Cricetulus griseus: one gene and its partners. The protein of the gene in region 3 purifies or fractionates together with the protein of the main gene of each other region. This does not show direct contact. Links are inferred from orthologs where the notes say so. Each region holds a gene or a part of one and is shown on either strand. Other genes may lie near its edges.

What was found.
Region 1: the proteins of Eif3h (region 3) and Eif3g purify together in Homo sapiens (affinity purification with mass spectrometry; 8 studies listed by BioGRID and IntAct, counting the BioPlex papers as one, with this or other methods). This does not show direct contact. The link is inferred for Cricetulus griseus from reciprocal best matches to the Homo sapiens genes EIF3H and EIF3G.
Region 2: the proteins of Eif3h (region 3) and Eif4b purify together in Homo sapiens (affinity purification with mass spectrometry; 3 studies listed by BioGRID and IntAct, with this or other methods). This does not show direct contact. The link is inferred for Cricetulus griseus from reciprocal best matches to the Homo sapiens genes EIF3H and EIF4B.
Region 4: the proteins of Eif3h (region 3) and Eif3b purify together in Homo sapiens (affinity purification with mass spectrometry; 10 studies listed by BioGRID and IntAct, counting the BioPlex papers as one, with this or other methods). This does not show direct contact. The link is inferred for Cricetulus griseus from reciprocal best matches to the Homo sapiens genes EIF3H and EIF3B.
Region 5: the proteins of Eif3h (region 3) and Eif3d purify together in Homo sapiens (affinity purification with mass spectrometry; 10 studies listed by BioGRID and IntAct, counting the BioPlex papers as one, with this or other methods). This does not show direct contact. The link is inferred for Cricetulus griseus from reciprocal best matches to the Homo sapiens genes EIF3H and EIF3D.
Region 6: the proteins of Eif3h (region 3) and Eif3j purify together in Homo sapiens (affinity purification with mass spectrometry; 3 studies listed by BioGRID and IntAct, with this or other methods). This does not show direct contact. The link is inferred for Cricetulus griseus from reciprocal best matches to the Homo sapiens genes EIF3H and EIF3J.
Region 7: the proteins of Eif3h (region 3) and Eif4g1 purify together in Homo sapiens (affinity purification with mass spectrometry; 4 studies listed by BioGRID). This does not show direct contact. The link is inferred for Cricetulus griseus from reciprocal best matches to the Homo sapiens genes EIF3H and EIF4G1.

The regions. Positions count from the first base shown.
Region 1 is NC_048597.1:133,767,608-133,772,585, reverse strand, and holds the start of Eif3g (eukaryotic translation initiation factor 3 subunit G), read left to right. Parts: upstream 1-1,516; 5' UTR 1,517-1,607; coding exon 1,608-1,627; intron 1,628-1,743; coding exon 1,744-1,790; intron 1,791-1,982; coding exon 1,983-2,066; intron 2,067-2,170; coding exon 2,171-2,259; intron 2,260-2,381; coding exon 2,382-2,441; intron 2,442-4,391; coding exon 4,392-4,496; intron 4,497-4,587; coding exon 4,588-4,777; intron 4,778-4,978. UniProt on the Homo sapiens protein: RNA-binding component of the eukaryotic translation initiation factor 3 (eIF-3) complex, which is required for several steps in the initiation of protein synthesis.
Region 2 is NC_048595.1:398,493,286-398,496,610, reverse strand, and holds part of Eif4b (eukaryotic translation initiation factor 4B), read right to left. Parts: intron 3,291-3,325; coding exon 3,077-3,290; coding exon of another isoform or gene 3,073-3,076; intron 2,556-3,072; coding exon 2,500-2,555; intron 1,157-2,499; coding exon 978-1,156; intron 632-977; coding exon 551-631; 3' UTR 1-550. UniProt on the Homo sapiens protein: Required for the binding of mRNA to ribosomes. Functions in close association with EIF4-F and EIF4-A. Binds near the 5'-terminal cap of mRNA in presence of EIF-4F and ATP.
Region 3 is NC_048603.1:3,299,707-3,304,103, forward strand, and holds part of Eif3h (eukaryotic translation initiation factor 3 subunit H), read left to right. Parts: intron 1-2,609; coding exon 2,610-2,777; intron 2,778-4,253; coding exon 4,254-4,353; intron 4,354-4,397.
Region 4 is NC_048597.1:77,070,762-77,073,892, reverse strand, and holds the end of Eif3b (eukaryotic translation initiation factor 3 subunit B), read right to left. Parts: coding exon 3,062-3,131; intron 2,480-3,061; coding exon 2,402-2,479; intron 2,041-2,401; coding exon 1,932-2,040; intron 1,815-1,931; coding exon 1,711-1,814; 3' UTR 1,698-1,710; intron 1,252-1,697; 3' UTR 785-1,251; downstream 1-784.
Region 5 is NC_048595.1:375,059,875-375,064,271, forward strand, and holds part of Eif3d (eukaryotic translation initiation factor 3 subunit D), read right to left. Parts: coding exon 4,342-4,397; intron 3,646-4,341; coding exon 3,498-3,645; intron 2,841-3,497; coding exon 2,710-2,840; intron 2,204-2,709; coding exon 2,118-2,203; intron 1,999-2,117; coding exon 1,869-1,998; intron 99-1,868; coding exon 1-98. UniProt on the Homo sapiens protein: mRNA cap-binding component of the eukaryotic translation initiation factor 3 (eIF-3) complex, a complex required for several steps in the initiation of protein synthesis of a specialized repertoire of mRNAs.
Region 6 is NC_048599.1:56,410,078-56,415,039, forward strand, and holds the start of Eif3j (eukaryotic translation initiation factor 3 subunit J), read right to left. Parts: upstream 3,111-4,962; 5' UTR 3,001-3,110; coding exon 2,949-3,000; intron 2,867-2,948; coding exon 2,763-2,866; intron 1-2,762. UniProt on the Homo sapiens protein: Component of the eukaryotic translation initiation factor 3 (eIF-3) complex, which is required for several steps in the initiation of protein synthesis.
Region 7 is NC_048597.1:67,959,735-67,963,244, forward strand, and holds the end of Eif4g1 (eukaryotic translation initiation factor 4 gamma 1), read right to left. Parts: intron 1,759-3,510; coding exon 1,574-1,758; 3' UTR 1,126-1,573; downstream 1-1,125.

The DNA of each region.
Region 1 (4,978 bases), on a different chromosome or scaffold from region 3:
GAGGCAGAGGCAGGCAGATCTCTGTGAATTTGAGGCCAGCCTGGTCTACAGAGCAAGCTCCAGGAGAGTCTCCAAAGCTACACAGAGAAACCTTGTCTTGAAAAAACAAAACAAAAACAAAAACAAAGCAAAGGCCATTTGTCTGGATTTTGCATTTCTCTAGTAAATTTTTTGTTTTGTTTTTGTTTGGTTGGTTTTGTTTTTCAAGACAGGGTTTCTCTGTAGCCCTGGCTGTCATGCACTTACTTTGTAGACCAGGTTGGTCTCAAACTCAGAGACCCACCTGTCTCTGCCTCCACAAGTGCTGGGATTAAAGGTATGCACTCCTGCACACGCACGCGCGCGCGCGCGCATACACACACACACACACACACACACACACACACACACACACGGCTCCATAATACAAATTCTACGTGCTGGAAATATAGGTCATCACAAGTGCGCCCAGCGTGTGCTTTCCATCTGCACTAGCAACCCAAACTAAGAAAGAACTTCTTGGAATGCATGTTCCCAGAGGCTGAGAATCAAGTAAAGGAAGATTATACCAGAGTTCTAGGGGGTGTAGCTCTGAGGAAGGAGAAAAGCTTAGTATGGGAAATAGTTTAAGATGACACTGGTAGGAACCCATTTCACATAGAGGAATATTCCCTGAGCCTAGACACACGGGGGAGGGCCTACGTCCTATCCCAAAGGATATGACAAACTGATGACCCCCCCCTATGGAAGGCCTCACCCTCCCTGGGGAGCAGAAAGGGCATGGGATAGGTAGGGTGTTACTTGGGGGAGGGAGGCAGAGGAGGAGGGGAGGGAGAGGGAACTGGGATTAACATGTAAAACAATGTTGTTGCTTTCTTCCTTTTTTTTGGGGGGGGGTTCGAGACAGGGTTTCTCTGTGTAGCTTTGGAGCCTGTCCTGGCATTCGCTCTGGAGACCAGGCTGACCTCGAACTCAGAGATCTGTGCCTCTGCCTTCCGAGTGCTGGGATTAAAGGCGTGTGTCACCAACGCCCGGCCTTTTTTGGTGTTTTTTATTTTTGTTTTGTTTTGTTGACAATGTTGTTTCTAATTCAAATAAAAAACGGAGGAAAAAAAAAAGATGACACCGGTAGAACTTGCAAGATGTCTTTGCAGCTAAGAAGGCTGACTGCCAAGCCTGAAGACCTGGGCTCAGTCCACAAGAGAATAAACTGGGGAGATTGCTATGAGTGCAAACCCAGCCTTCGGTACATCAGTGCGTGGTGCTCATGCCTATAATTTCAGCCCTTCGGAGGTTGAGGCAGGAGGATTGTCGGGAATTGCTGGTTATCCTAGCTACAGAGTGATACAGTGACTTCTAATCCCATCACTCCCCCCCAAAAAAACAATAAATTAAGTGGGTGCGGAGAGTTTAAGAAGTTCTGGACGGTCTCTCTGGGACCTCCTTCCAGCTTGGGTCCCCGTACTTCGCTGCACACGAGAGTCGCGTGTCCGCCTTCGTCCATAGGGAGGCGCTGTGCTCGCCGCGGTCTGGCCGCTCTAGGCTGCAGGGGCGGCACCGGAAGCCTCGTTCTCCCCGGGCTTCCGCTCTCTACCCGGGCTGGGAGCTGCGTGGAGCTAGACTTCGCGATGCCGACGGGCGACTTTGAGTGAGGACGGGGCGGTGGCGGGCTCTCCAGAGAGGCGGTGTGGGGCAGCGCTGGGTGTGTGGTGATCCGGGCGGCGCGGGGGTCGGGACCCGCTCACCCTTCTCGTGTCTCCGCAGCTCGAAGCCCAGCTGGGCCGACCAGGTGGAAGAGGAGGGCGAGGACGGTGAGTGCGCGTGTGCGTGTGAGTGAGTGCGTGAGTGCGTGCGTGTGAGTGCCTGTGCGCGGCCCTCCGCGCCCTGTCCCGGGGCGGGCCGAGCCCCCGGAGTCCCCAAACCCACCCACACCTTGGCCTGGACGTCCCAGCCGTGTGTTTCACTTTCCGTCCCCCCCGCCGCCCCCGCATTGCCTCTGACAGACAAGTGTGTCACCAGCGAGCTCCTGAAGGGAATCCCTCTGCCCACCGGGGACACCAGTCCAGAGCCGGAGCTACTGCCCGGAGGTGAGCCCCGTCCAGCCCTGCCGTCCCCTCCCCCTTCCGGCCCTCGAGCCCGTTCCCAGCAAGTCCCCGTTATCCAGGACTCAGTTCCTGTTGTCTTCCCACAGAGCCACTGCCACCTCCCAAGGAAGTCATCAACGGGAACGTAAAGACTGTGACCGAGTACAAGGTAGATGAAGATGGCAAGAAGTTCAAGGTGAGGCCGAGGTGGCCGCGGGGGCGCTTGGATTGGCGATGAGGGCTGTGAGTGTTGGTTTGGATTGGTGAGGAAGGAAGGCCTTGAGGTTCTGGAAGTCCTTTCTCCCTTTCCATCTTCAGATTGTCAGGACCTTCAGGATTGAGACCCGGAAGGCATCGAAGGCTGTGGCCAGGAGGAAGGTGAGGCCCTCCCATCTGACTCACTTTGGTGTGTGTATGCGGAGGGGTCTCCAGGACTGGCCCAGAGGAGTTGGGAAGTCCTTTCCTGTTGATGTAGAATTAAAAATTTAGTGTCAGGCCCTGGAAATTCAGGGTCCAGGAGTAGTTGAGGTTAGATTTTTTTCCCCCCTTTTGTGTGCTCCTGTGTACAGTGTCATTCCTCCAGCAAATTCCTCTTGCATTGAGATGGGCTTTTGTCATCAGGAATTAGATTTGACTAGCTGGCCACCTATCCCCAGTGAGCCTGTTGTCTCTACCTTTGGAGATAACAATCACATGCTTCTGTGCCCAGCTTTTCATTGTGGGTGCTTGGGATTGGACTTTGATGGGTACTTTTGTGACAAATAATTTGCTAACTGGGACATATCCATCCTCTTGAGTTTTTTGTTTTGTTGTTATTTTTATTTATTTTTTGGTTTTTCGAGACAGGGTTTCTCTGTGTAGCTTTGGAGCCTATCCTGGCACTCGCTCTGGAGACCAGGCTGGCCTCAAACTCAGAGATCCGCCTGCCTCTGCCTCCTGAGTGCTGGGATTAAAGGCGTATGCTACCAACGCCCAGCCTTAATTTATTTATTTTTAAAGATTGATTTATTTGTTTATTATGTATACAGTGTTCTGCCTGCATGTCAGAAGAGGGAACCAAATCTCATTACAGATGGTTGTGAGCCACTATGTGGTTCCTGGGAATTGAACTCAGATCTCTGGAAGAGCACTCAGTGCTCTTAACCTCTGAGCCATCTCTCCAGCCCCATTTGTTGTTATTTTTGAGAGGCTCTTGCTGTGTAGTATTCAGATTCTAAATGCTTCTGCCTAGCCTCCTGGGTCCTGACTTAGATTCTTACTCCTTTGCTCTGTCTACTTGAAGGAACAAGCAGCCTCTACTGAGCAAGGGGCAAGGGCTTCTGGAGGAAGGACATCAACACATTGAGAGCAAGGCTCCATGCCAGGCATTTAGCAAGACATGGCTTCCCAACCTCTAGATCAGGCTAGGGAGGCAGGGAGCTTTGTGGTCCCATTTAACTAGCTTAAGGTTCCTGTGATCTGAGTGACTCTTGGACATCCTCCAGCTTCCTCCCTGGTGGGAGCCCGCCCTGCACCTGCCTAGAAACTTCAGTGGCACAGTTGTGTGCCATTCTACTCTGAGTCTCCTTGCTGTTTCCTGGAGTTTTTTTTTTGCTTCTCTCCTTATGGGGTGTGTGTGGGGGGGGGTAGGTGTGTGGGTGTGTCTCGGGGTCATGAATGGCTGTATATTCACACTCAGACTAGAGGAGGAGATTGGGTGACTTGCTCTGTCATGTCACTTTACAACTTATTCTCTTTAGATAGGGTCCCCTGCCCCTGGGCTATATTTAACTCTTTGGTTTGTTTGTTTTTTGTTTTTCAAGACAGGGTTTCTCTGTGTAGCTATGGAGGCTGTCTTGGCACTGGCTCTGGAGACCAGGCTGACCTTGAACTCACATAGATCTGCCTGCCTCTGCCTCCCAAGTGCTGGGATTAAAAATGTGTGCCGCTACCACCTGGCTCATACTTTCTATATGAGAGTTTTGGGTTCTTTCATGTACAATAACCGGTTTTACACACGGAACCACCTCACCAACACCCTCCCCCCTTCTCCCCCACTCCTTTGTTTTGGCCTCATACAGCAGAGCTCAGGCTGGTTTTGAACTTGTGTATCTCAGGGTGACCTTGAGCTCGGAATCTTCTGTTTCCACCTTTAAGTGTCAGGGTAACAGTTACATTCCACCAAGCCTAGCTTAGGAAATGAGAATTGTCACCATTATCACATGGGAGGCCTCTGGGGACACGAGAATGTAGGATTTAAGGCTCTGACGGGGTTGTCTGTCTGGGGTACCCCACTCTGCTATCTTACTGCCTTTGTCCCCATTTTTCCCTATTCTTCTGGGAACCCAGAATTGGAAGAAGTTTGGCTACTCTGAGTTTGACCCACCGGGGCCCAATGTGGCCACCACCACAGTCAGCGATGATGTCTCCATGACATTCATCACTAGCAAAGAGGTGAGCAGGGTGAAGCTGGAGACCCAGAAGTGCAGTGGGGGTGGGGTGGACAGCGGCCGGCTCTGAGCCACTCTTCCCTATTCCCCACTAGGACCTAAACTGCCAGGAGGAGGAAGACCCAATGAACAAGCTCAAGGGCCAGAAGATTGTGTCCTGCCGCATTTGCAAGGGCGACCATTGGACCACCCGCTGCCCTTACAAGGACACACTGGGGCCCATGCAGAAGGAACTGGCTGAGCAACTGGGCCTGTCTACTGGGGAAAAGGAGAAGCTTCCGGGAGGTATGGGCCTAGGGCATGGGAGGGGCCTCAACACTTTTTTTTTTTTCCGAGATAGGGTTTCTCTGTGTAGCTTTGGAGCCTATCCTGGCACTTGCTCTGGAGACCAGGCTGGCCTTGAACTCGCAGAGATCCGCCTGCCTCTGCCTCCTGACTGCTGCGATTAAAGGCGTGTGCACCACCAACGCCTGGCTAACTTTGTGG
Region 2 (3,325 bases), on a different chromosome or scaffold from region 3:
CTCCCCTAGGCTGGCCCCAGCTAAGTCTGAATTGAAGTAGAAGGGCTGGCAGCCTCCTGGAGACTAAAATAACTTGAGAGACTAGATCTACCTGGCCAACGGTGGGAAATGTACTCAGATGATGTTTGGGAATTTGTAGGTGCCACCACAGGACAACAATTAAAAGGTAGAACTCTCACTCTTCCTTGTACCTTTCTCTACTGCCTAACTGATGCAACCGAGTCTCACTGTCACTACATTTCTGCTGAATGGAGCCCCAGGCACTAGTCACAAAGGTAACCACTTCTATCATCAGAACACATCACAACTTCCCCATTCAAAAGTGATAGCCACATCTCTCTGGCTACAATGGTGATTCTCCAGTTACTTCAATACTTTAAAAGGCTGCAGCAGCATGCAAAACAATTTCATTTCATTAAAAAAAAAAAAAAAAAGTTAAGAAAGGTCTTCAGGAGATGGTGAGCTTTATTTTTTCTTGTCTGGATAGAGGTTTGATTTGCTCTTGAATCTTCCGGGGTGGAGACTAGAAGAAAGCACAGCATGTGGAGGTCTACTCAGCGTGGTCATCTCCCTCATTCTCATCTTCACCATCCACAGAGAGAGCAGCATACTTGCTTGCAGAACTGAACTTCTATAATAGATGAGAGGGACAAAGTAATAAAGTCTGAGATTTTCCTAGAAGCAGAAGTTAATGCTTTGGCATAGGGGACATGAATTCATCTAGGGGTAGCATGTTCCACCGAAGCAATCAGGGAGGGCCAGGGTCACAAGTCAGCTCACCAGCAATACACATCCTTTCCACTTTGCAAGTGTGTAAGAGCTCAGAAGGGTTGACTCATCAACAAAAAGCCCATCTTAGCTTTTCTCATTAACTTGAAAAAAACACCACTGCCTCATTTCCAACTTCTCCAGTCTCAAGAAAAAAGGAGTCTGCAAAACTGAGCTATGAGAAGTGGATGCAAGCACACAACACTTACAGAGGCTGGGTTCTCCTCAGATTTCTTTGGCTCAGGTGCAGATCTGGAGTCTTGATCTTTTTTGCCATCTTTCCTGTCCAACCCCTTCCAGTGGTCTTTGTTTGCTCCATCTCCAGGGCCACGACTTGGGAACCCAGTTTGGCCTTTTGGGACATTTACCCCATCTATTTTATTTTCATCTGTTTAAGCAGAAACACAAAAACCAAATTCAAGTCACATAAAGTAACCTATTTCCTTGTACTAGATTTTCTTTTAAGCCGAAGAAAACATGTACTAAGGGAAATTAACTCCATTCCAGGCCTTTCTTCCCAAGTTCCTATACCACCCAGGCATACCAAACAAGACATATTAAAAAGTCTCACTGTAGTAAATGTCACCCGGAAAAGCAATATAGAAATAAAGACCAGAAGCCAGGTGGTGGTAGTAGTGCAGGCCTTTAATCCCAGCACTGGTTAGACAGAGATAGGCAGATCTCTCAGTTTGATGCCAGCATGGTCTTTGGAGTAAGTTATAGGACAGCCAGGGCTACACAGATAAACTCTTATCTCAAAAAACAAAAACCCCAAACAAACAGCAAACCCCTCTTCCAGGAAAGAAAGAGAAAAAGGGACTAGATTGTTCTGTAGTGACCTTGGCTGGTTAATGGTGACATTTCTCACCTGGACAGACATAGTTATTCCTGTCCAATTTCCCCACCAAGGCAAGGTTTACCAGGAAAGCCAGCTTCTGACACTCTTTGAAGAGCCCATTCCTGCCCTCTATTGGCAAGGAAAGGTAGCTCATCAAAAGAACATCACAAAACAGGGCATAAAAGTTCAAATTTCTTGACTGAAGGTTGACAGGGGGAGGGAAGACATTTTGAATAGTGTGGCCACTGGTAAGGTGCCAGAACTTTTGTAATCCTCAATAAAGCCCACTAGGCAACTCCCCCACAAAAGTCATAAAAGTAGAATAGAGGCTAGCTGGGGAAGAGGGATTGGCAGGAAGGAGACAAGAGAAGCTAACAGGGCAGCAGTAATGATAGGATTAAAATACATCATATACATGCATGAACTTGTTGTCTTCATGAGACACAAATACTGCAGCTTTCAGCAAAAAAAAAATAATAATAATAATATTTTTTTCTTTTTTTCTTGCTCATGCCTTTAATCCCAGCACTTTGAGGCAGAAGCAGGTACATCTCTGAGAGTTTGAGACCAGCTTGGTCTACAGAATGAGTTCCAGTTCCAAGATTACATACCTTTATCTTGAAAATCAAAAACAAATTTATTTGGTCAAGGTGTTTAATTCAGGAATTTTTTTAAGAGTTGTTTTTATTTTATGAGTATTGCCTGCATATTTGTGCCCCACCTATGTCTGGTGCTTGTGGAGGGCAAAGAGGCATCAAATGCCTTAAAGAAACTGGAGATATGAATGGTTGTGAGCCACCATATATGCTGGTGCTGGGAACTGATTTTGTAGCTCTTGGATGTGTTTGTATCCAAGGCTTTACACAGATCAAAACCTACTTCCCTTGGCTCACCTTTTCTTGATGGTCCGTCCTCAGAGGGCTGAGCTGGAGCTACTTTCCCTCCACCACTAGAATGGAGCAAGCAATCAACCATCAGTTTTTACAAGAAAGACAACACAAGCTTATACCATTTCCAGAATGCAGTGGGTTGCCTTTATAGAAATACACAAGAGCCTGCATGTTGAACACTGCAATATTTAAGTATAGGAAAAGACAATGAAAGCAGTCACTTCCACACTCAACTGCCATATGCTTTGGAATTTATAACCCAGCAAGGCAATAGTAGTTTTCTCTTTGCAAAAACTGAGAAAAGTTAAGAGAATCTTAAGTCACTTAAATGATATGACCCTCCAAGGTTACACTAACAGTATATCTCAGGACAAAACCCAATAGACATGTCTACAATTTCTGTGGTATAAATGCGCCCATCATAGCTGATTTCAACCCATCAAAACGATGCCAACTGGCTAACAAAAATGAAAAAAACACACTGCTATGAGACACCTCAGTATGAATTATACATACTACAAAGGCCAAGACCCCTCAGGGCACCTTCCAGCTAAGCAGCTGCTGTTGCAGGCCTACTCACCTTGTAGGGGACTGCTGCTCTGTGTCTGAGCTCTGAGATCGAGCAGGAGGGTTAGAGCTTCGCTTCACCCACGCATTCTCCTTTGGCGGAGGGGCTGGCATTACCTTTAGAGGCTGATCAGGTTTAGAAGGTTTGGAGGTTGGAGAGTGACAGTCTTCTTCTTTATTGAGGGTTTCATTTTCTAGAGACTTCTCACTCTCTCTCCTTCGTGTATCTGGGGGATGGGGGGAGACTCACTGTATATACACT
Region 3 (4,397 bases):
TAACTAATAGACAAGTCATTGTTTATAATTAGCATGTCCAATGAACAATGTAGAGGCCTAGCGTTTGACTGGGCTAAGTTCTCAGATGTCTTTAGAAACCAGAACACTAAAGATCAGAGACGCAAGATCCCCACAGGGAAAATGTCAGGACTGGCTCAGGAGCACTCCATCTTTTTTCTACTCTTCCAAGTTGGTAGATGGCACTAAGGCTTGACTACTCACTAGCAGATGTGTGGTAGATGCTAACCCTCTCGGGCTAAGGCTTCACCACTCACTGACACAAGTTTTCCAAGTACTGGTGTTTGTTTTTTAATGGTATTTGTCCTGTCGATTGTTTGATAATTCCTCCATTCCTCTTTCACTTTCGTTGTTGTAAAACAATCTAACGAATTTCATTTTAGCTCCCATTTTACTAAGAGTATTAAGACATTTATTTGTAAGTTAAATTTGGTTAAAATTCGTCAGATAAGTTAACTTAAGAGTATCGTAGCTAGAGACCAAAGGAATGATTTGGGTTGTCTCGGAGAATCCGTTAAGTTTGCCGAAAGGAGGGGGATTGTAGGGTGTCTCTTCCATCACAGAAAGAGATGGTACCAAGACAAGAATACTTGATATAAGATTATTGATTTGATTGTGGCTCGCTGATTTATTGTTTTCTTTTTAGCTTGAGTAGGTAGGTATTGAACTTTCCATGAGCTACTGCTGAGCTAGCTATGCTTCCAGCCTCGTTGAGGTGTTCTTAACTGTAGTTTAGGATGTAACATGGTTTATAGGGCTTTGTTTTCACATATTCTTTATAAAAGCGTGTAGCATCTTAGTGTCCCCTGCTTTGTGACACCCTTTGCCCTTTTTGCTGTATGTGGGTGTTTTGAGTGTATACATGCATATGCACGCTTGCATGCCTGGTGCCCACAGGGGTAGAAGACTCATGGAGCTGGAGTTGTCAATGTTGTGTTGGCAGCTAAACACAGGTCCTGTGTGGGAGTAACAAGTGCTCTAAACTGTTGAGCCATTTCTCCAGCTCCTCCACCATACTCTTTAAAAAAATAAAGAAAGAAAGAAAGAACGAAAGAAGCAATACAGCCAGAGGCTAATGAGTGAATAAGCTCCCGTGGAAGAGAGTTGTCTGCATCCATCCGCTCGCTCAGGTGACTGTGGAATTGCAGTGCGGTCCTTCCTGCCACATAGTGGTAGATTGGAGCACTCTGTTTGGGCCTTTTCTGCAGTTTTTCAGTCATCCTCTACTCCTGACGTAAAATTGATTTCTTTGCCTAATGTCAGATGTTGAAAAACATTGTGATATGAGTCTTGTTTGCTTTTTGAAACGATAGTGCTATGACCAGGGGAATAGCAGTAATAAAATTTTTGGCAAAACTTCATCAAGTTTTAAAAGTAAAGTTGGCAGGTTCAAGGTGAAGCAGTTATGGCTATCCTAAGCAGCCATGTGTTCATTCTTTATTACAGAAATAGCTTGTTGACTGTAAAACTTTCCCCTTTATTTTACCTTTGGTGTGCATTGTTAACCTGTAATGCTTATTTTAAAAGATTTATTTTTATGTGTGTGTGTGTGTGTGTGTGTGTGTGTGTGTGTTTATGTGTGTGCGTGTGTGTGTGTGTTTGTGTGCGTGTGTGTGTGTGTGTGTGTGTGTTTATGTGTGTGTGTGCGTGTGTGTGTGTGTGTGTGTGTGTGTGTGCGTGTGTGTGTGTGCGTGTGTGTGTGTTTGTGTGTGTGTGTGTTTTTGTGTGTTTATGTGTGTTTGTGTGTGTTTATGTGTGTGTGTGTGTACATCCACAGCCGAGATGCGGGCATCTAGTCCTCCCCAGAGGCGGAGGTAAAGGCTCTTGAGAGCTGTCTGACGTCTATGCTGAAGGCTACACTCACTTCTCTTAACCTCTGAGCCATTTCTCCAGCTCTATATTGCTTCGTAATGCCATTTATTTTTATGAATATGTCCCTCTTTCTAGTTAATACTGCCTTAAATGAAATAGAGAGAGAGAGAGAGAGAGAGAGAGAGAGAGAGAGAGAGAGAGAGAGAGAGAGAGAGTGTCATTAATTCAGCAGAAGGAAACATCATCAGACCTTTTCATTGTATGGTGATTAAAATACAACCTGTCTAATAAAAAATCATCTGTTAGCACAAATGAACGCAAAGAGAAGACAAGTAGATGCAGCAGGGGGCACTAGATGAAGGCAAAAGTGAGTTCTTACGTTGAAGCAGCTGTGTAGCCTGTGCCTGGTTCCTATGTGAGCGGTGGGGTTTTCTTGATGGCCGCTTGCGAAGGAGACAGTGGTGACGGTCTCACTATTAATCCAGCTGGAGTGGCTGCAGTCTGATAGTTGTACACCTTTCCTCATGCACTCATGGTTTCTAGAGCTTTTGAAAAGAGGAGTAGAGCAGGACATTCATTAACTAGGTGTTTCGAATACCTTTTGTACAAAACGTGATTTTGTTAAAAAGGGAAAGAATGATTTGAAAACTTTGTTCTCTTTCTGTGTAAATGAAGAAAGGTTTATTTTCAATGTTAGTGGTATCTTTGAATGCTTGGTTTTTTTTGTGTGTTTATTTGTTTTTTTCTTCTCTAACCCCCCCCCCCCCTTGCATCTCTAGTCCAGTATCAGATGGAGATGATGCGAAGCCTGCGCCATGTCAACATCGACCACCTGCACGTGGGCTGGTATCAGTCCACGTACTACGGCTCGTTCGTGACCCGGGCGCTTCTGGATTCTCAATTTAGTTACCAGCACGCCATTGAAGAGTCCGTCGTTCTCATTTACGGTTAGTAGGAGGCTCCTTTATTATTCTTTTCCTCCCGTAATATTATTACTGCTATTTTTGCTTTCTGTCTTTCTGCCTCACGGAGAAGCCCTGGCAGGCCTTCTCAAGTAAATATCAGCCCCGTTCTGCAGCAGCCTCAGCAGCAGCTCCGTCTAGACAGGGTTTCCTTCTTTCTGTTTATTTTTCTTGCTATCAGAGCCCTGATGTGTACGTTTTGGAATGCTGGAGTAGCTGCTTCATTTTTTTTCTCATCTCCCTCCTTCCTTGCAGGGGCTGGTGGAATAAGACCAGATGTCTAACAAACCCCGATTGCTGGCGTGTCTGGTTCTGTACGTGACTGACCAATCATAATGCAGCTTGCCAAGTTTTCCTTTTTTTTTTTCTTTTTTTATACCTCTGACAGCAGTGTACAAAACCTGGACTGTTTCTTAGCACAAAGATTTTTTTCTTTTCGGCCTATTTAATGGTGTTTCCTCAAGCTCTCCAGACCAGATGTTCTGTGCTATATCAGAACCGTAGGCAATTTAACAGCTTTATAGCCTCCCCCTTCCCAAACACTCACAGTTTGCCATATCTGGCAGACTTGCATATAGTTTCCAGCTGAGAAGTAAATGTAACGTCCTGAGTATCTGTCAGAAAAAATACTAATGAATACGATCAATCTTATGAGCTGCCCTGAAATTGTTTCAGTGTGTTAGCAATTGGATTACAGAGAGAACAAGTTGTTAAAGTGCACTTATATTGGCTGGAAACATTGCATCATCAGACCTTGATGAATTTTCCACTTGCTTCAATCTATTTTGGTTTTCATTTTATCACCTATTGCTAAAAGTTTGACTGTGTTGAATTTCAGACGACATGAATGCTAACACAGGTTTTAGGCAAGCGTTGGCACACCAGAGCCGTTATCATGCAGCAAGCGCTAAGCTCCCTTCCTTGCCGAGTGTTCGTTCAAGCAGTCAGTTTTGACAAACTTTGTTTCTCAGACTGAAAAGACAAGTTGTGATAGCACTTGGACGGAGTGGTTTTGTTTTTACATCTGCTTTAGTGAAGAACCGTGGACAGCACTCACTGGGATGATACGCTTTGTTCCCAGGGCTATTTGTTTTCAGTTTATTGACTGAAGGGCTGGAGAAGTATACACAGAGATTTTCTATGTTTAATATTCATGAATATTTTCTCCTATCTATGCAAGATCTATAGGACATTATCACATATTTAATTTTCACCAAGTTGACTGGTTCTCATTGAGGGATGGATTTGAAGGTATCCCACCTAGATTTTGGCTCTTAGTTTTTGTTTTAAGGAGGAAGCTATGCTGGTTTTAGTCAGCTTCAAATGATGTCCTGATTATTTCTTTTGGTCTTCATATTTCAAAGCTTGTATGATAAGTAACAGTGTGCCCAGAACTAGTACTGTATGAGAACTAGTAGTGACAATATTCTCAGTGATATCTTTCTCTTTTTCTTTTTTGAGATCCCATAAAAACTGCCCAAGGTTCTCTCTCACTGAAGGCATACAGACTGACTCCTAAACTGATGGAAGTTTGTAAAGAGAAGGATTTTTCCCCCGAAGCGTAAGTGTTCCGTGCCCATGAGGCACGTTGTAAAGGACTCGTGT
Region 4 (3,131 bases), on a different chromosome or scaffold from region 3:
TTTTTTTAAAGATTTTATTTATTATGTATACAACATTCTACTTCCATGTATATCCACACATCAGAAGAGGGCACCAGGTCTCATAGCGGATGGTTGTGAGCCACCATGTGGTTGCTGGGAATTGAACTCAGGACCTCTGAGTTCAATTCTGGAACTCAGTGCTCTTAACCTCTGAGCCATCTCTCCAGCTGGAAAAAGACTTTTAAAGAACATCAAGTGGCCAATACTGTGGGGTAAAAGTGCTGAAGGGGACTGCAACCACGATGGAACCTCAAGAGAACACAAAGGAATAAAGAACCTAAGAACCAGGACAGGTGACACAGTCAAAGCACTGATCTTTGTCCTCTGCTGGTATAGTACATGCTCTGCAGGCCCAGCCTGGGGTAGCTCTCTGGTCACAAGAGATGCAGAGCCAGAAGGGAGCCTGCAAGAGGCAGGTTGCATAGAGCATGGCCACAGCTCACCAATTGTGGAGCCCAGCTACACAAGTTTGCTGTCTTCTCTATTGGACACTAGGTGTCTAAGTGGCTGCTCCCCTCTGTACCTGTTTTCCAACCTGCCCAATTCTGGAAAACCTAAGGGTTCTGTGGGGTGAGATGAGCATTTTCTCACAGAAACAGATGGAATACATTACATCTGGGATGTGGTACACTAGGCTCCTGGCTAGATTTCAGACAGGTTCAACAAGCCAGGAGCAAGTGTGCAAACATTCTCACCCTAGGGAGAGGGAATGGGCAGGCCTCAAGGCCAGCCACTGCAAATGGCAAAGAAGAACAAGACAGCATTTTCACACAGGGTTGCTTTTATTTCCACATCCAACCTGCGCAGAGGGCCCCGCCACAGCCTGAACAGGTGTGAGGTGCTGGGTGCCTCCAGAGCTACTGGCACAAGTAAGTGGTGGGCGTGCAGTTCCCCTGAAGGTCTCCAGGGACAGCCAGTCCATGAATAGGGACCCCACTGAGCTGCAGGTGGAGTCTCTGGAAACACCACGGGCAGCAGGAGTGAAAGGAGCCACCAAGAGCGCTGCAATGAGGCCCCACAGCAGACATGGCATAAAAACCCAAACAGGTCAAATGAGAGAGGAGCCTCGAGTGTCCCCACTGTGGACCCAGGGGCTGAAGGCACAGAGCTGTGTCGGGATGGAAGAACCCCGGGTGTACTCGAAGTCCAGAGCAAAAAAGCACAGATGAGAACCCAGCCTGAGGCTCTCTGTGAAGGGTGGCCTCGGATCCTGGGCACGGCACAGTAACACTGCAATAGATGAGCCACCATTTAGTTAGCCACAATGCAAAGGATTATTCACTGACCACACTCCTGGCATGAGAGGTAGTTCCTCTAGCCAAGAGCTGGCCTGCATGTCAATTGCACCCACATTACCCTGACGCTCAGCTCTCACAGTTCCTGAGAGAACCCAGCACCACACACATTCACTCCTGTACTACCAACACTGGATGACACAGTGTTGTACCTGATCCTCCTTCCTGCAGCACTGCCCTCATGCCAGCCTCCGCTTCTTTTCAAGCTTTCTATCAACCACCAGTGATGCCTCATGCCAGCCTCTGCTTCTTTCCAAGCTCCCTATCAACCACCAGTGGTGGCACTACCATCTTGCTGGGGTTGTCTTCTATGTTGTGGTCTAACAAGCAGCCATTGACTAAGTAGGCACCCATTCCTGTCTTCACGTTCACAAGTCTTACCACAGTGTTGAAGTCACTCCTGACTTCCGAGAGGAATGATCTCCTCAGTGACAAAAAACTCGATGGTCTCCTCTTCCCAGTCATCCACATTGCTGTCCAGCTCATCAGTGTCCACCCCTAAGAAGACAGAGAGCAGGCTAACCCCTGGGACGTGGCTGCAATGCCGGCTACAGGGCTCTAGTCCACACCCTCAGGGACCACTCTTATTGAAGACAAGCCTGGAAGCTTGATTACCTCCCCGCAGTTCTAGACGCTCGTTCTTCTGCTTCATGTAGAGTTCCTGGGCCATTTTTCGGTATTGCCGGAAGTCCTCCATCATGGTCCGCCTTCTTTCCACCAGTTCCTATCAGGTGGGGAAGGTTGTAGGGCTGAGCAAGACATATTTGCTCATTCATAGCGACCCCCACTGTGTCCAGCGACCATTATTGAAGTTTGGAAGATGACAAGCAGAGCCTTGTTGGACACACCTTCCATAAAACCTCCCTCACTTCTCTTTTTGATTCTATCCCCTCCTGCTTCTATAAGAAAAAGCCAGCCTCTACCCAGTGTTAGTGGGTGTTGGTTCCAAGGACCAGTGCTGGCCCTCTGTTCCCCACTGTTAGCTGCCCCCTCTCATATGGAAGAACAAGCCAGACCAGGCTCCTGGCACACCCTTCTCACTAGTGCCCAGGCCCAGGCTCCCGTGAGCATCCCCTGGGGCTCACCTTTGAAGCTTTGGACTGGCTCAAGCGATCCTTCTGCTCGAAGATCTTAGAGTATTTCTTCAGATCCTTCTTAATTTGCTGAAATCAAGACAAGTCTCTCAGGATTAAACCTTCAAAGCAAGCACCATTAACTGCTGCCTTCAAAGATGCCAGTGTACACTGAGAGCCTCCAGGTCTAAGAGGATTCAGCCCCAGGGGACCAGCATGCCCAGCTGGGGCGTCTCATTTCATGGAAAGATTCCTAGGGTGAGTCACTCCCAGATCTTACTTAATATCACAACTCTATCCCATTACCTAACACCTCCTAGTTCTTCCAATCCCACTGGGACTTGTTTACAGCCTGTCTGGCTTAGGCAGACTCCTGGGTTTTCTGGGGAGTGGGGAACAGACAAGAAGGATAGGGTTATCTTTTTGCTATACAGCAGAGTCTGGCAAGAACTCAAAATCCTCTTGCCTCAGCCTCCTGGGTTTATTGGTATTGCCTAGCCTGCAAGTTTAAGAGTTAGTGCCTGACTGCTTCAGTTAAGGTCTCACTGCCCTGCATCTCTTCAGAGGCCCTACCTCTATTCCCCACTCACAGGACAATGCCTCGTTTCCTTCAGTGCCACAACTCCTCCCATACCCAACTCCTTGTGGTCCCAACAAGGTAGGGACACAGACCTTTATCTGATCCTGGCTGAGGAGTGTTGGGGGCCTTGGTCTCCAGAGCAGCTGGCAAAAGCGATCTTTG
Region 5 (4,397 bases), on a different chromosome or scaffold from region 3:
CACCGCGCTAACTTGTAGCTGTTGTTCTTCAGCTCAGTGGCGATGACAGCTCCACGCTGAGAGTCTAACTTCTGTCTCCAGTCAACGCCATTACAATGCTGCAGAAGGAAAGATGGTTACTGGGTGAGAGGCACCTGCCACAAGGCCCCAGGGCCTCTTCTGAAGACAGGAGCCCACTAGGAAGTGAAAAGTATGCCTGAGTCAGACGTAGACCAATTATCATGTAAGAGACAAAGACACGACCATCGCTGTACATATCCACCCAACCTGCGGGTAACGGAGAAGGCAAAACTCAATGACAAGGGTGCTGTGTGGTGCAACGGGGCTTTACATCGTGCCATGGTGAACATATGGAGAAGGAAGTTTGGGATCTGAGGGGCAGGTGGGTGAGACTCAGGTGGGGTTGAGGGCAGGAGCCCAGCACCTGATGCTTCCTATGCATAGACTTCCAGATGTGGGGAATGGGGCAGTCCAAGGTCACAGGGCAGGGAGGTTCCCACAAGAGATTAGTATCTGACAGATTCTATTTCCCTTAAAACTTGAAAATATGCTGTAGCCCCTAGAGAGTGCCATGACATTGAAGAACCCTGCCAGCATCCTGGGGACAATCACAGGCAGAGATGAATTGAACAGAGTATACGGAAGTCAGACAGAAGTCAAATGCCAGGCACAAGGACAAAGAGTGCCCCAGCAGACTCCCAAATGGAGAAAGGAGCACCTGAGTGCTGACAAGGAACAGGGACCACAGCTGTACCATTGCAAGGAACTGACTTCTCAACTCACAGCAGACATTCTTCTGGAACCCACTCAGTTCTAGGGACATAGTCACTGCCACCCACAATACCTCAACAGAGAATGAAACTATCTGCCCACCATTATAGGTGCTGTTTTAGGTCATAAGTTTCTTTTCATGTGTTTTTGAAGTACAAGGTACTCTGGGACAAGAGCTGCTTGGGGATTTACCCCAAGGCTCCAACCTCACTTGTGAGTAGGGTAGCGGTGTGTGATTTCAGAACTGCACAAATATGAGGAAAGACAGATGCTACAGTAGAAGTCTGGGAGAAGGCCACTGGCCCCACCAGAGGATGGATTTCTGAGCCACATTTTGATGGCAAGCTAACCATCTCAGGCTGGCTGGGCCCCAGAATTGTCCTTGTCAGTATTCTTTATCCTGTACAGAGGCAATGGCCCTGCCCTTAACTTCAACAGAGTGCCACACATAAAGCAAGGGAGAAAGAATGACACCTGACCTGATTATCCTGGTGGACTGCCCACAGCTGTACAATGGAAAGAGGAGAGCGTGTGTATACTCATGTTTTGCCCAGCTCTTAGAGCATAGGCTCTCAACCTCCCTAATGCTGCTGCTCCCTCTAATATTCATGTTGTGGTGGCCCCCAACAACAAAATTATTTCACTGCTACTTCATAACTGTAATTTCGCTGTTATGAATTATAATGTAGATATCTGATGCAACCCTCCAAAGGGGTCACAACCCATAGGTTGAGAACCGCTATCTTAAGTCTTTTGAGGTTAGTAGTGGCAGAGCTGGACAAAGGGATCACAAGGTGGCAGTGAGGCTGAGCATATACAGAAAGACGTCAGAGAGAGTGACTGGGCTTTCCAAGACAAGATGAGATCAAGACCAGATGTGTAGAGTGCTGGAGCCAATGGGTGCCCAGAATGAATAGACAAAGGCGCCAAAAGCAGAAACCCCTTAACTTGACTGTTCTCTGTCAGCAGGGACTTATGTGGATAAAGAAACTGCAGCCCCCATCCACGTTGGCTCTGTGAGCACTTAAAGGTTGGTCACCTCACTCCAGCCAATCCCACTACACACAACAGGGAAGACAGCTGCAATGGTGCCTCACCCTGGAGTCCCACTCATTGAGTGTTTTGATGTTGATGAAGGACACTTCCCCAGTGGCTCCAGTCATGACGCCATCATGTTCACAGCGGACGATAAGGTCAATGTCATCTCCAAGTTTCCACCTGCGGTAACTACAAGGAAAGCAAGATTCTTTCTCTGTAACATCTGCTGCTTTAGATGGACCATTCCAGACAGCACAGGACAGGGTCTGTGCTCCAATCTGGGCACACCCCCATCACAGCTGACATACCGGTAAGCAACAGAGGCGATCTCATTCTTATCCATGTCATCCTCCACAAATGGGTTTGGGTTGGGGAAATTATATCTTTCTCTCCCCTGCAGAAGTGACAAAGCTTTCAGGAGATGGTGTTGATGTCAAGTCAGCAGACCCAGCACTGCTTTATGTCCTTGAGGATCTGGGCTTACTTGTGCGAAGGACTAAACCCAACACATCCCACTGAATGCCCCTCCCTGTTTCCTTCTTCACCACAGACAGACAGCTAACCTAACAGGGCAGTAATGGCCTTCATACTTCCTCCTTCATCACAGTGAAAAGTGGACAATTTGTTCAATATCATATCCTCAAGGCAAAAAATGGCATTTGAGCCAAAGGCATTTCCACAGCTCATCTGTGTGAGACAAGTATTAATATTGTAACTTTACAGAGAGGAAATATGTCCAAGCACACAGACCTGTCAGTGGCTTGGATCCTCTGCCACCAGGAGAGGCCGTTCCTGGCCAACACCACACCACAGTCTAGTGCAAAGCAGAGGCTCAGCAGCAGCCCCCTAAATCACCCAAATCAGCAAGTCGGTGTTCCCCACCCGCTCCTGTGTGCTCACCATTCTCAGGCACTGCTGGGAGAAGTTGTGGTTGATGTAGGTGGCCTCCATGGCCAGGTTGCGGGGTGAGTTGAAGGAATTGCCTTCATCTTGAGGGGGCTCATTGGCTGTCTCACTCACAGTCAGGAGGTCTATAAAAGCCCAAGCATGGATGGTCAGCTGCTCACATTGCCAAGAGCCACTGGCAGTGTGCAAAGCAGCATGGGGAGATGTAGAGACCCAGACTATAGGGTGCCATCTCCAAAGAACTGTATTCTGCTAATAGGGTCTCTCCCCAGAGTATGTGTGGCATGTGTGGGTAGAGTGTGTGCCTCTTGCATGACCTTCCATTTGACCTACCACCACCAATCACACAGTAAGAAGCCATTCCTTCTAGATTCCTCAAGAGAACGCATCTGTTGGCATTTTAACAAATGAGGCTCACAACTCAAACACAATCAGATGGCTTTGTTTTCATACTGTCAGTTTGCAAGTGATTCATTAATGGTGTGTATATACATGTGTCATAAAATACACGCATATATTTTTCTTTATAGTATATGAATGCAGAAGCAAAAAACAAAAAACCAAAACAAAAGGCCAGGAAAGTTTTGTGCAAGTGAACAACACACAGCCACAGTGGTGGTGTGAGGACTCAGAGCCGAAGCCCACGGAAGCACTGAAGTGGTCTCTTCCCTTGGACTCCAGGAGGATGGGAGGGATTGACACATGACCCATTCTCAGGACCAAGCAATATTCAAGACCAATAATACCAGTGCCCCGAGCTGCTCCCCAGTCAGGCTACTTACCGAAGTCAGAGTTGTCCCTCTTGTCAAAGAAGAGTTTAGACCCGACTCTCTGCACTACAATGTCCCAGGAGTACACAGAGCGTGTGCAGCTCATCAGTGTGGCTAGGATGGCATCAGTGGCAAACACATTGCCCTGCGTTTTTGCCAGCTGCAAGGAGGCAGAGAGGGAGAGAGAAAGTGAAGTGAGGATGCTGAGGTCACCAGGGAGGGAAAAGACTTCCCCAGTCACCCAAGAAGGCTGAAGCAAACTGGCTGGCATGGCTGCTCCGTCACTGTTGTGGAAGCATACACCACACTCAGCTCACTAGTTTCTAGTTTCTGTCTTTGCAGGTGAGAAAGCTAAAACTCTAGTGCGATACGGTCTGCCTGGCAAAGCTGGGGTCTGAGCATGCTTTGGCTTACCACATTTATATCCACCCAGCAACAAGTCTCCGCTTCCATCAAATTCTAAGTCTGATCCAGAATAATTTTATCTAAGGGCTGGACTATGTACACAGTCAGCTGTTTCTGTGAAGTCTTCACCAGTCAATTCACCAAATGTTCAGGAGAACAAAAAAGACCATGTCTAATCAACATGCACATGCTCTTTCTGTCAAGTTCCCCAAACAACAGAATAACAACTGCTTATGTCTTAGGCGTCCTGAGCAATCCAGAAAGATCTGAAACATGGAAGATTGCCAGGACTGACAGTCCACATCAGTCATAAAGAAGCACCCATGAGTTTTGGTATTCATGGGGTGGTCCTGAATCAACCCCGTGACTACTGAGGGGACATGTCCATATCTCACACCCTGTTCTTTCTGGGCCTCAGCAACATTCCTAAAAATGGGCAAAGGGTGCACACCTTCCGGATGACAGGGTCGTCTGTGGTGGTAACGGTGTGGAAGATGCGCTTGATGC
Region 6 (4,962 bases), on a different chromosome or scaffold from region 3:
AATGAATATTTTCTATAGTTTGGGGATAGAACTCTCACTCAGTTGCCCAAGTTGGTCTTCAAGTACAGGATTCAAGTGATTCTCCCCCAACTTCCCCAAAGTGTTGAAACTATAGGCACTTACCATCATACTCAACTCGGGTATTTTTTTTTTTTAAATTCACATACTAATTTGTTTAAGGATTATGATTATTTTGTTTAATGAAAATTTAGCCTTGTTTGCATACCCCTACAAAAAAAGATTAAATGCTAAAACATCAAAATTCAGAAGCTAGTACTATGACTCAACTGCCATGTAAGGTGACAAAATTCAATTTTAACAAACCTCCAAATATGTAAATCAAAAAACAAACTCCACAAAATTCATAGTAAATATATACTATAGAAAATACTTATCTTTCTGGCCTTAGGAAATGAGGCACAAAATAAACCTCAGATACTAGATCTTAGCAGCCTAAATATGTCCATAGGATAAAAAAAAGAAAACATCACTGAAAACTATATTTACTGATTATCTACAAGTGCTAGGTGGCCCTGCTTAATGCTCACTTAAAATACAAAGTTACTCTCATGGTGGCACACTTCTTTTAAACCCAGCACTCAGGATGTTGAGCTAGGCAGATTTCTGTGAGGCTCAATGCTAGCCTGGTCTACATAGTGAGATCTAGGCCATACAGTGTTACACAGTGAGACCCTGTCTCAAAACCAAACAAGCAAAAAACAACAAAGTAACTCTGAATTGCAGGTCTCATTACAACCATTTACATAATGAGACAGTATAACTTGCTTATGGCCACAAATCTAGAAAATGCTAAGGTAACATTATAATCAGTATCATTTTAAAACCCAGGAGTCAAACTATTCTTATACTGTATCATGAGAATGGAAATAAAACATTTCAACTTGAGTCTTGAACCCTTGGACCCATATGACCCCCCTTTGTTTTTCTTTTTGGTTTTTCAAGACAGGGCTTCTCTGTGTTACTTTGGAGTTGTCCTGGAACTCTGTAGACCAGGCTGGCCTTGAACTCACCTAGATCTGCCTGCCTCAGCTTCCTGAGTGCTGGGATTAAAGGCGTGGGCCACCAACGCCCAGCCTCATGACTCTTTCACCGGAGGCCAGTATCAGCTATCCGGCATTTTACATTATGATGCATAACTAACAAAATTACAGTTATGAAGTAGCAACAAAAAAAATTTTATGGGTAGGAGGTCACCATAACATGAGGGCATGTTAAACACAACATGTTAAAGGGTCAGGTTAAAGCATTAGGGATGTTGAGAACCACTGTGAGTGATGAGAATTATTAACATCACGATAATACCATTTAGATTCCATAATCCCAGGTAGATACTACATCATTACAGACAACTTTTAACAATTTTCTGGAACTTATTCCCAATTCCACTTATTTACCCCAGCCCCCTATTTTGTTTTGGACTAACTTCCACTCCTTTTTTATACTTCTTTAACTTTATGTCTTAACTTCCACTTCCTATGAAGAGTGAAAAATCAAAACTGAAAATCTGCTGTCGTGTGTTAAGAAGGTTGGTAACAAATCATCCCCAAGTGTAGTGTACACAATAGGTAAACAAAACATGTAAGTAGCTACTCAACAATACTATTAGTCATTATTAACTTCAATGTATGAAAAACTCACTTCATTCCTCAAATTCAGGCTGTCTGGTAAAGTGGACACACACTTCAACAAACTTCAGAAAAAGACAATCCAAAGAGTACTATTAAATTCACAATGATTACTTAGCTCAAAAATTTGACCACCAGGAGGATTTACAAGGTACTAGATTAATCCAAGGAAGAAAAAATTTTTCATTCCATACAAAACTTTATCTGCACAAATATAACAAGACTTGAAAACTTCACTAGTACAATCATGGAGCTTAGACTTGTAACTTTTTTTTTTTAATGAACACAGAAGATAATGACTTCCAAAGCTGTAGGATGAGCCCATGGGAGTTTTCTAAAACAATAAAGATGAATCGGATTCGAACTTACAAGACAAACAAAACCACTGGTCTACTTCAACTACCAAATCTTTGGTATTTTTCTAGGCCTGGACCTGTGTAGATGAGTGACTATTACCTTTCCATTTTTCACTGCTCACACTTCTGTCCTAGGTTTCCGTCCACTAACCTGCCGGTTAACTCGGTGCTCAGTTCATCCTTCTTACCACAGGGTGGGGGAAGGGAGACCTAAAAGCTGTTTGTTTTAGTGACCAATTCTAGTTTAGAAAAACTAAGATTTTCTGCTCATCCAACCGCTGGAACCAGCCACCGACCCTCAGGATCATACTTAAGTTACTGATCTGGGAGACCCAAACTAGGAAAGGCAGGCGGGTCTCCCTACTTTCCATATGGGACAGACACTGAAGCCGAGTTTCCAATCTGGTCGGCTCGTTGCCATGAGAGGTTCTGGCCTGCGAAGCTTGCACGTGGGCCGACCCGACTGCTGGCTGTCACTTCTAGTCGCCAGTTAGGATCCAGGCCGGGGAGCCGACCCTCGGTGAAGGGCTGGGACACGGGCTGCCACCATCCTCGGCAGAGTCCGGCGGGACGCGCCACCGCCTGCTGCCCACATGGCCGGCCAGCCAAGGGAACCGGGGCACGGCTGGGCCGCCGCTCACGCGGGACCCACGGCCCGCAGGCCCGGGCGGCGCCCTGGGGCCCCGAGTCCGCCCGCCGCCGCCCGCCCCCCGCCCAGGCGGCGCCTGCCGAGCTACCTGGCGCCCCCGGCCGCACCTACCTTCACGTCCTCGTCCTCGTCCTCGCCTTCCCAGCGGTCCCCGCCGGCCGTGCCGCCGCCCGCGACCTTCCGCATCGGGTCCTCCATAGAGAACGTGTCCGCGTCTACGGAAGAGAGCGAGTCGCGTTAGTACACGCGTGGGAGCGAGGCCGTCACGGCCCGCACTCGGGCCGGAACTGTGCTCACCCCAGGAGTCCGAGTCCCCCGCCGCCGCCGCCGCCGCTGCCGCCGCCGCCATCTCGAGTCGCGGGTGAGCGTGTGTGAAGGGAAGAGCTGCGAAGAGTTAGCGCGGCAGAGGTGAGTCACTGGGATGGCTCTCGTTGGCCCGCGCGGGGCAGGCTGGGACCGTGGCTGACTGGGCGCCCGGCCCAGGCTCCACCCCTTCGGGCGACGCGCGCGGCGGGCGGGGCAGGGCGGGGCGACGCTGGGCTAGGGGACGCCGACCCCAGCCAGGGCCCCTCCCAGGAAGGAAAAGGGAGTGCGCAGGCGTGGGTAGGGCGGTGCTCGCCTGGGGGCCGCTGATCATCTACTGGGAACGGGCGGTCGTGCCCGGTGGATACGGCGGACGGGGCGGTCCTCCCGCAGCCTTCATGCAGGCGGGCCTGGAGGTCGAAGTCGACCCCAGTCGCTCCGAGTTTTCCCTTCCCGTGAGCCCCTCTGAGGCCGGTACGGCGATTCTTTGGCGAAAACATTTAAGAATTCCGTGGTCTGTGCCAGGCGTGTGCTCTAGTTTGCCCTCAGCCCGGTAGCAAAATAGTTATGTAAACAGATTTCGACACAGTGCGATGGCTGCAACAAAAAGTAGCATTATGAGGTTAGATGTAAAAAGGTAGCATTAACGGCGGCGGAGGCTGCAGTTCCCTGTCTGCGGTAGGCTGCCTGCGGTAGACACTGGTGAAGTTGGAGTTTGAGAAACCAAGTGACTTGTGCTCCGGTGCATTTCTGGTTGAGAGAAGGCTTGTGGTCCTCACCTGACTGCAAACGAACAGGTAAACTGATGATAAAGAACCTAAAAGAAGCAGAATTTTTTCCTTTGACACTGGGCTTCCCTGTAAGGATGTTAAGGGACGAGCCAGTTTAGGTATTTGGTTAATTAAATAAATAATTAAATGTATTTTCCAACATAGTTACAGTTTTTAAACTCTTAAAAAGACAGTAATCAGCCATTCTCTTATTTCCGTTTCTTGTGTATTTTTGGTCTAAAAACAAACATTTAATAAGATGGTGTTTCAAGAAGTGTACTACAGCATCATTAAATTGTGAGGCGACGACAATCTATAAAGAAAGCATCTATTTGTAAAGGTGGATTGAAAGTAAGCAAGAGAGACAGTAGCAAAAAGCTGGACTATACATCCCTGAGGACACAATCATTCACAATTTTTATCTTCAACATTTCGAAAAGTACATTAATTAATTTGCTGTGCCAGGAATAAAACCAAGATCTTCTGCAAGCCTTGCACTACCACTGAGCTATGCAACCCCCAACTTCAGTGAATTAATTCAACGAGAATTCAAGTCTAAATTAAGCTAGTGACAATGGAGAGGAAGGAACCAGTCTTTAAAATATTTGAAGATGAAAGGCAATAGAACTTAGTAATTGGAGTGATTAATTTTATTTGTTTATTTTTGGTTTTTTGAGACAGGGTTTCACTGTAGCTTTGGAGGCTGTCCTGAAATTCACTCTGTAGACCAGGCTGGTCTTGAATTCACAGAGATCTGCCTGCCTCTGCCTCTTAGTGCTGGAATTAAAGGCCTGTGCCACCACTGCCCGGCGAGTGATTAATTTTATGTATCGCTTGACTAGTCTGTGATACCCGTTACCTAGTTTTTAGTCAAACACCAGTCTAGTTGCTGCGACTCTGTTAGATATGATTAACAAGCCAATAAGCTGAGTACAGCAAATAAAGCTCTGTAACACATGTGGATCCAGCCAGTGAGTCCACATACAGACAGGACCCTGAGGAAGGAAGACTTCTGCTTCCATACCACAGCATCAGACCTCCCAGTCTCTATCCTGCTCGCCTGCCCTGCAGATTTTGGATTCCCTTTTATCCATGTATCCCATTGGTCTGTTTCTCTGAGAACCCTGATATAGTGACTGAATGCATTATGTTTCAGGAGCTCGAGTGGTGGTGACAGTTAGAGAGACGTGCAAATCAAAACCTGAGAGCTATCCTTGGCTTCTTGCCCTCCCTTACCC
Region 7 (3,510 bases), on a different chromosome or scaffold from region 3:
AAGTGTTAGGCAAAAACTCCATGGTAGGGTGAGTTCTTGGCCAGTATTTACAGGCTGACTCCTGAGGAGGACAGCACCCAGCGGGGAGAGGCAGCTTCACAGCAAAGAGCCACTCCTAAGACAGTGAGATGAGAGGTAGGTGTAGGCAGAGAGGAGTATGTAGATACAAAAGACTAGTTGCCAGGAGCCAGGAAGGTGGAGGCCGCAGGTTGCCCAGCGGATCCCAGGCTGTGTGCGCTCCTGCAGCCACCCTCAGCAGCAGGAATACAGACGGAAGGTGAGTATACCACGGAAAAACCCAGCGGAAGGCAGGCCACAGAAACAAGCCAGAGTCGGTTAGCCCCCTCCCGTTCGCTCATCTGGCCCGACCCGCCTCCCGGGCGCAGGCTCCTCCCTCTCCTTATACCAGCCCCCTCCTCACTGCCCCTTCCACCCACGGCCCCACCGGGTAGCTGTGTAGCCCGATTCCCTGTCCATGCTCCGGCCTCCGCCTCTTACCCTGACCGGCTGGGCGCCGAGAGCCAATACAGCCCATGGCAGGGCACCTAGGCACGCTAGCCCGTGTTTGGGACCCGGGCCATCGTCTTGCTGAGGGTCGGGCCGCGGTCACCACCGGGGAGGGGACAGCCTGTGAGAAGGGGAGGGGGTGGGAGCAACGCGTCTGCTGCCGCTCCCGGGAGAGGGGAATAGGGCCGGTGACGTAAGCCCGGGGCTGTGCCCATCCAGAACAGGCGGGGCAAGTCTACGTCACAGCCACTCAGTAACAGTCTAGGTCTTGAAACAGCCTGTATCTCCACTGCGGTGCCACACCGAAGGGAGAAGCCGGTAGGCCACACGGGTCATTTTACACAGGACGCCCCCTTTAGAGCTTCTATAGTTCTAAGGGCCTCAAACCCAGGGCCTGGATTAATCTGGTAGGCGCAAAAGTACTCTATAGCACCAATTTCCCGTATGTCAAACCAGAAAACCCAACCCTCCAGAAAACCAATTCCCTGGGTCCCCCACCCCCAATCACTGACTGGGAAAGAGGCAGGTACCAACACTGATACAGTGCCAAGTCTGGAGAGGACCATGCCCACCTACCCATACTCTTCCAACGGAGCAGATCAGTAAAGAGGCAATGACTTAATTGAATTCATGTTTAATAATTACAGGCACCGTGCCCCCCCCTTTCCCCTGCCCAGGCAGCAGCAGGGGTGGTGCAGGGGCTGGGGCATATGCCCCCAGCAGCGAGGACGGCAGTCCCAAGAGTGATTTCAGAAAATAAAAAAGGACCCTAGAGGCAGGCGGTAGTGCCCCTCCCCCCGCAAAGACACACCAAATTTCAAGACTTTATATATATCTCTGTGCCCCGGGGGGAGGAGAGGGACACTTGGCAGCATCCTGGAGGGGGGGCCCCAGGCAGCCCCAAGCCATCCTGCCTCATCAGCCACTTTATTAGCTCAGACACATCGCACTACAGGCACCCACTGCCACTGCCGCCACTGCCACCGCCGCCCCCCTGCAGTCCAGGCAGCTGGCTGGCTGGGCCATCCACGTGTCCATGGCTCCAAGTCCCCGGCCCCACCCGCCATCAGTTGTGATCAGACTCCTCCTCCTCAGCCTCTCGAAGCCAATTGAAGAAGGCTGTGACAGATTTAAGGGCCACACCCTTGCCCTGCTGCTCAGCAGGGTCCTTGCTGCTTTCCCAGCTGTAGAAAGCGTCTTCCTTCACGACGTCCTCATCATACAGGGCATCAAAGAACATCCGAAGCAGGTCTGCAAGCCACAAAGACATCAATTAGGTGACCAGTCTGTAGCCAGAGGTCCCTCCCAGAGAGACTGTAAAACTACGCCCTGCCCTACTATACTGGCCAGGCTTCTGACAGAATGCTAATCTCATGACAGAGACTACTAGCCTAAGAATTCATTACTTGGCCATTAGCAATCTTCAGAAACAGGCAGTTCTGGTTATTTAGCAAAACTATATGAAAAGGGAAAAAATGAGGCCAGGTGTGGTGGTGCACATCTTTAATCCCAGCACTCAGAAGTCAGAGGTGAGCAGATTTCTCTGGTTGATGCTAGCCCAGTCTGCAATAGACTATTCTAGGCCAGCTAGTTCTACACAGTGACACCATGTCTCAAGGTTGATAAGGGGAAATGGGAACATCACAAGTAGAATCAAAGGAGAGAGATGAAATGAACAATGTCAGGCATGGTGGTTCACAACTGTAATCTTGGAATATAGAGGCAAGAGGTTCAAATGGTAAGGCCAAGTGCCTAAATTAATTCGAGGCCAGCCAGACTACTTAAGATTACATCTCAGAAAACAGTTGGAAACCAGACATCTGAGTTCAACCCTGAGTCCAGGATTGGAGACAACAGGCACAGATCCTGACAAACACTTGAACCATCTCTGGCTTCTAGAGTGCTACACTCTGTCGGAGTTCCTCGGAGTGCTATATACACACACACACACACACACACACACACACACACACACACACACACACACACACACACACACGTATTTAACCCACTTGTCCAAATTAAACATAAAAGCCATCTTTCAACTATCCTATAGCTAAACAAGATTTTTATATAATTTGTCTCAGTCAACCATCTGTCCTAATTGCTTATCTACCACTTCCCTATACCAAATTCTTTCTTTTGTTCATAGAGCCCTTTCTGTGTCTCTACTTCCCCACTGCTCTATTCCTCTGGAGTCAATCCCATTATCTTCTTGTGAAAACATTTTGGAGAAAGTGATAGTTCCAGCAGGACCTTTCAAAGCAAGAAGCCTCAGTCTTCCCTTACTGTAAAAGGCAAATAAACAGCTAATTGACAACATTTTAAAGGAACTTATGCTTCAAGTACTGTTTTGGTTGTTTTTGTTTTGTTTTGATGTATGCAGCCCTGGCTGTCTTGTGTCACCATGACCAGCTGGGGGTTAGAGTAGGGATTTGATAAAACAAGGCCTGATTCAGCGTAGGTGAGCATTTGGTGCAATAGAGGATCACAGGGTGAGGCACCATTTTCAGCTCAAATTCTTTGCTTACAAAGCCCTGGTGCTACTTATACGGCCTGAAGTACCTATCCCCACGCCCCGCCCCCAACACACACACACACACACACACACACACACACACACACACACACACTACTTCACACTTTGATTTCCTCACCCCACTCGGCCTGCCTGTTCCATCTGTCAGTCAACTAATTCCTCCCTACCACCCCTCAGACTAACCTTCCAACACTCCCTCAGCCCCTGACTACAGGCCAGCCCACAACTGTGGTCTGCTTCCTTACTACGGTTACCTAACTAACACTTGAACATACCCATGTGCTCAATTTGTAAACCTCAGTCTTACAGTGTGAAAAAAGGAGATAAACCCACAATGGCTATGAGATAAGGCAATGTAAGCCAAGCATTTTAGCCTTGTGCCAGACTCAGTGGGCACATCATGTCTGAAAGATATCATTTTTTGTTGCTGTCACCTACTGGCCAAGCACAAAGCCTGCAGGATG